2 linked regions of the Tribolium castaneum genome follow. The main gene of each other region encodes a partner of the protein of the gene in region 2 in a complex. Links are inferred from orthologs where the notes say so. Each region holds a gene or a part of one and is shown on either strand. Other genes may lie near its edges.

Region 1 (2,849 bases), on a different chromosome or scaffold from region 2:
CCAATTGTTTTTCCAAGTTTTTGATCCTAACATTCGTAGTATAGATTTGACTGCAACAAAAAATTCTGGTCGGATTAAAGAAGTTGTACTGTAATTTCAAAATGTAAGAATTATTTTGAGGTTTTAGTTTCACAATTGTACCAATTGTAGTGCAAGTCCATTATAATTTGTAATTTTTTTTCCACCATGATGTTTTAATTATAATTATTTGTGTAAAATTTGAAGCATAGAATAGACATGGTGAAGAAAATAATTTGTATTAGGGTAAATATACCATAAATAAATTAAATTTTATTTTACACGGCGTGCGAAAACTCAGATAACCTAAAGGCTCAAACTTTCCTTTTATTTTAGCATTAATTTAAACTTTTTTAGGAAGTGTGGGCTAACGAAACGTTGCAAATTTTATAAAAAAGTGTGACCTGAAGTGGCTGCAAAAATGAGGAAAAATCACAAATAGCCAAGAAACAAATCGTTTTGTCACACGAATACATCAAGAACAGAGCTTCAGAACTGAAAAATTGTTTATGACTGATTGTTAAATTATAAAACTGTTCCTTATAATTATTTACGTAATTTGTGGTCTTATTTCTTTGCGAACGATATTTTCATGGCATGTGTGGGTGTGATCTTGAACCCTTGCAAGGCGTCCTTGGCAGCCCCTGACTGCAACTCGTTTTCAAACTCCACAAAAGCGATGTCATGTCTGTTGGGCACAAGACGCACTTCTTTGAATCCAGGGAATCTATTGAATAAAAATGAGTCAAGTATTTTAACCAATGAACCAAACATACTGATTGAAAAGCATGGACAACATCATTTCGCTCGTTTCGTCGGGCAGATTAGTAAGGAAGAGAATTTGGTTTGGAGGTTGTTCAGCGTTGCTTCCACCGGGGATTCTGTTGGGGTCCTTGTTCTTCTTCTTTTTCTTAGGCGCTTCGTCCTCCTTGGAAGGCGGGGGGCGTATTTTCTTGGGCCTCTCCTGGAACGTACCCTTCATTTTCGAAATAACGTCGGAATCTGTCTTTGCATATTGAATTCGCTGAAACAGGGGAGTTAGTTACGCTTGTGCCTGGTGCAATGCACAATATTTACATTTATAAAATGAGTCTTAAAATGTTGGCGGAATACTCACCATTGGTTTGTCGTAAAACGGGAACCCCTGCATGGAGCGTAAAGCGTTGGTCGAGCTTTGAATTTCCTTGAAAATGACGAAAGCTTGGCCCCGCATTTTGAGGGTTTTGAGGGCCACAATGTCCAGGATTTGGCCAAATTGGGAAAATATGGCGTAGAGTGACTTCTTCAGTTCTTCTTTCTTGATTTTCTCGTTTAGGTTGTTGATGTAGATTGTGTTATTTGGTCGAATATCCATGGTTTGAGGTTAGTTATCTCAGCTAGTTCTTAGCAGAATACCTCTTGTTTGGTAAATAAATCTGATCGGATTAGCACGTTTTCTTGGAATTAAACTTCTCCAGTCTAATTTGTTTTGTACTTAAGTCGAATATATGAAAATTTACAAAACGTTTCGACGCCGACAATGGATTCAAACACCAAACTTTGTATAATAAACCAGCTGAATCTTTAGATTGAATCATTGTTGTTTGACTTCAAAGCTTTAGGTGGTCGGCTACAAAAATGGCGTCGATTAACTTCCTGTTTGATATTGCGCTGACATCTATCCGACAAGTCTGCTACTCGTGTACTGTATTGTTGGTTGTATACAATGAACATCTACCCTTGAATAAAATTTTCTGTAAAAAATAAGGTTTTATTGTCGAAGACACTACATTATTACCTTTTTCAGAAGCCTAGCCAATTAAGTCTTTCGATAACAATTCTGTTTTTCACCTGTGTTTTGCCAAATTTTTATTTTTTCTAATTTTGAATACTTAATTGTTATTTCACTTACACTGACTGACTTCTAAACTCTCCATTTATTTACGTAACATTACTTAATTAATCCAAACTTACCCTAAATGTTGTTATTAAAAAAAGTTGATTAACGAAGCTGCTGATAAGAAAGTCAAAATTATATGCAGATCACATCCTCTCAGTCTCTTGATATTCTTTCTGAAAAAAAAATTTGTGACTACTAGTTTGTCAAAAGCACAAAAATAAAAATTAATAAAAACATAGGTAAATAAAACTTATTATGTAAAAATATGTAATTCAAATAAAAAATTATTTAGTGTTCTTGTGCCAGGAGTTGTTAATTAAATAAAATTTTATGGCAACGTTTAGATTTTATTATGAAAGCATCTTCGACAGTCGAACCCAAGTGCTTGACTCCACGCAATCCATCCGTAAAAACAATAATTGACGTTGCCATAAAATTGTATTTAATTAACACTTGCTACAAGAATACAAGTATTTTTTTCAATCGAAAAATAATTTCACGATAAGACGATAGAAATATTTATTTCATTAAAGTCTTTCTAATCTAAATTTTAATATTTTCTAATTTTTTAATCAATATTTCAGATCTATAAGCCGGTTTACAGAACATTTTAATTGTAATCAAATCTATTCGAGATTATGTAATTTTATGTAAGTAATTTTCATTATATTTGCATTTTTTAGAGTTACTTGTGGGATTTCTTGGCTCAAAATATGTTGCTAGAATTTAGCTTAAACCAGAGTTCTTTTCTTATAAAAAAAACTCTAAATTTGTGCTTTATTTCACTCCAACAAATTCAAATGCGCTGTCAAAAAATTCTACTATGAAATGAAATAGGATTTAGGTATTATTTGTGAAAAGCTTTGGTTTGGATGAAAGAATTTTTGGATCTCATGGTATATTATAGGGTACCTACATTAGACGCCTGTCTCTTAAAATTTTATTATTTTAT
Region 2 (3,122 bases):
AAAGATAAAATAAGTGACGCGAATTGTTATAGAAATAATTCCAAATCAACTAAAACATTCTGAAATGAAAAAATTTATTTGAACTTTGAAATATTCTAAAACCACTATTACCACACACTTTGAAAAGTATTTCGGTCACTTTAGACACAATTTCCAAGGCGCTCTTAAAATGACACGAGTAGCCACTAAAAAGTATTCGCAAGACGGTTTTGAGATAAAAACAATTTTTTATTTTTTACATGTTTACAGACAAATTTAAAATCCGCAAAATTTAAAAAACTGGTTTATTTCTGTAATTAACATTACTTTTGCTCGCTGTGAAAACTAAAAACTAATTTTCTTCGAAAAATTAGCTGCAAAACAAAATTTGTTGTTAGCTTATTTCGTTCAATTAATTTCTGAAACAGATAAATCTTGCCAGAAAGGCATTGTTTCAGTCGGGAAAGATTGAAATAATACCCAGTTATTGTACGTATTGCTTTATTAGAAAAAATGAAAAATTAATTCCGCTCGCTTCTCAACCTTGTATTTAGTGTAGTACAATACTCTTATCAACCGGAACTTATAAATAAAACTAATTAATTGTACACCTGACTGAAAATTACCTCAAACTTATTCATATTCCATACTTTGTCCATTTTGATATCCTGAAAAAAAATATTACATTTCCCACAATAAATCATAGAAAAAATTAACCGTTCATTTCTTCTTGACCAGGAATTTGACCAGACTGTAAAATCTTCTGTAACCGTTCAACCTCTTCCAAAGAACTGGCCTTATTGATAGCTTCACGAATTTTCGCAATTTCTTCGTCTGTAAGGCCTTGAAAAAATAATTAAATTGAAAAAATAAAACTCACAGAAAATGTAAGACGTACCTTTACTTTTGGCAATACTGTTACCTGTACCTCCGGGAATAAACGTCTTTGCCCTTTTCCCAATTTCTTTCCTAATCTCCTTGCCTTTCTTACTCTTAAACAGAGCCCTCGCCTCTTCCCGTTCCTTAGCTGTGACTTTACGAAAATCGAGCAACCTTAACTGCGGTAACTTATAAATTAGGTATAGCCTGTAATGCTGCTTGGAAGTGATAGGGTTATGTAAAAGACTAACTGTGGTGAGCTTCTCCAAAGTGCACAACGGCTCAATATCACCCAGCTCTTCCAAGTGGTTCCCAGTCAAAATCAGCGTCTCCAAATTAGGAATGTACTCCTCCAAATGCTCCCCAATGCGTCTAAAACCCCAAAACTCAAAAAAAAAAAACGAAAAAACCCCACAACTTACACAATACGGTTATTGTTAAAAAGCAAACATTTCAACCGCTTCAAGTACGGAAAACCATCCAACTTGCGCACATCATTGTCCGAAAAGTCAATTGTGTCGAACTGGTCACCGGTGGCCCCCAGATTTTCCACTTCGGGGATGCGATAACCTAAAAAAAGATGACTTAACCCAACTTTTTTACATTTGGTCCTCACCTCGTAAGTCCAACTCGCGGTCTTTTACCGGATTTATGTATTGCATGGAATTTTGAATCAGCTCGGCTGTTAGCTTCACCATAATTAGGTTTTAGCGAAAAATTACAATTAAACAAACAACGCACAAGCCATCAATTTCACCGACTACCGTTACAGGTTTCTGTAATTGTTACACGAATACCTGTAGAGAGCGCCCCAAACGCAATTTCCCTGAATTTCCAAAAATTTCCAAAATTAAGATGAAGCAATAAATATCAATCATTGGGACCAAATAATTAATAATTTAATTTTTGTATCAAAACATGGAATCTAAATATGAAAAAATACAGGAAAACGTCGTTAATCCGAACCCCTTCTAACCCGAAAAACAAACTTACTTTTAACTGTTAACAGCTGATAATGATAATTTGATAATATACTCCGTATGTTACATTATTGTATTTTGTAATAAAAAGTCCTGCTTCAGTTATTTATTTATTTTAATTAGGTAAGAAAAAATTAATTTCATAATCGGGAAAACCCCAAACAAAAATGGCTCGGATTCAAAGGCTTCACTATATACAAAAACACGTCTGCCAACACTTATTTCAGCGATTTGTGTTGGTCACAAATATGCTAATTCTGGCTAAAAAAAGTTGCTAAACAATAAGAAAAACACAATGAATGTGTGGAATGTACGTTTGAAGTATTATTATCTGTCGGATTCCCCGCATCGTCATTAATTAATCAAAAAATGATTTCGTGAAACGAATCAAGCCATTGTCTTCTTCACTTCCCCTTAGAGCAAAAAACAAGAGCCAAATTATTCATTGACGTCACAAATGTTTATCCAAACCGAACGGGTTTATTTCCATTGAACTTACACCAATTACGCGCCGATGAGTGATAAAACTCGTTCCATTCTTAATCTGGAAGAAAATTTCCTTGTGACTTTTCCGAGCTAATGAGACTTGAAGAATGCGCGTTTCGCGATAAGATTTATTACCACCTGATGATAATTAATTGTGAGCCGAATTGTACTTGAGGGAAAGGTTTCTCACATCACAAATTTCTGAAGGACCCACTTTAAATACGCAATGTGTAATAATTGTATAATGCCACCCACCTGAAAGAATGCAATTGTTGCCTTGTTTACTTATGCTAATTGGAATAAAAGTGCGAGTGTCTTCGGAACAGTACTGCAAATCGCCTAATTTAGCAGCGCTGCATACACAGCGTCTATAAATATCCCACTTTATTAAATAATTATGGAAATGCAGCCTGCGGTCGTTACCGAAAATATGTGAGAAGGCTGCGCTCGCTTCCGGTCGGCAGTCCTTAGGCAAGGACTTCCCCTGAGTTAAATTCCATGTTTACAAAAAGGTGAATCATAATTAGCTGCATTGTCAACTTTCGAGCCGATCGCGCTGATTTGAAATTCGTTTCAAAAAGTATTTAATAAAATAACATCATTAACCCACATTCGTGGACGACAGAATGAAAGAATGTCTAATGATGTGGTATTGCAGAAACACTAGTACTACGGTGAAGAAACGCATTCAAATTAAACGACACTTAGCAACTCTCACAAGTTATACAAAATTTTTGCGAGTCACAATACAATCAGCGCGACCTTAGATTATTCAAATTTGGAGTAACGGAAATATCG

What was found.
Region 1: the proteins of U2A (region 2) and snf are in contact, whole or in part, in a crystal structure (PDB 6F4J), measured with the Drosophila melanogaster proteins. The link is inferred for Tribolium castaneum from reciprocal best matches to the Drosophila melanogaster genes U2A and snf. Residues at the interface, in NP_610315.1 of Drosophila melanogaster: Tyr15, Asn17, Pro18, Arg20, Glu23, Asp25, Arg27, Ser50, Leu70, Asn72, Asn73, Ser92, Ile94, Thr96, Leu121, Ile122, Leu144, Asp146, Phe147, Arg148, Lys149, Lys151; in NP_511045.1 of Drosophila melanogaster: Ile18, Glu22, Lys24, Lys25, Ser26, Tyr28, Ala29, Ile30, Ser32, Gln33, Phe34, Gly35, Gln36, Ile37, Leu38, Asp39, Ile40, Phe72, Pro73, Phe74, Tyr75, Asp76.

Annotation. Positions count from the first base shown.
Region 1 is NC_087394.1:32,061,202-32,064,050, reverse strand, and holds snf (U1 small nuclear ribonucleoprotein A), read right to left. Parts: upstream 1,676-2,849; 5' UTR 1,373-1,675; coding exon 1,136-1,372; intron 1,043-1,135; coding exon 795-1,042; intron 746-794; coding exon 586-745; 3' UTR 507-585; downstream 1-506. Other genes in the region: oxysterol-binding protein-related protein 11, read left to right, coding at 376-421. UniProt on the Drosophila melanogaster protein: Binds stem loop II of U1 snRNA. It is the first snRNP to interact with pre-mRNA. This interaction is required for the subsequent binding of U2 snRNP and the U4/U6/U5 tri-snRNP. Plays a role in regulating sex-lethal splicing.
Region 2 is NC_087395.1:21,924,825-21,927,946, reverse strand, and holds U2A (U2 small nuclear ribonucleoprotein A'), read right to left. Parts: upstream 1,643-3,122; 5' UTR 1,557-1,642; coding exon 1,475-1,556; intron 1,429-1,474; coding exon 1,281-1,428; intron 1,231-1,280; coding exon 878-1,230; intron 823-877; coding exon 697-822; intron 648-696; coding exon 613-647; 3' UTR 511-612; downstream 1-510. UniProt on the Drosophila melanogaster protein: Involved in pre-mRNA splicing as component of the spliceosome. Associated with sn-RNP U2, where it contributes to the binding of stem loop IV of U2 snRNA.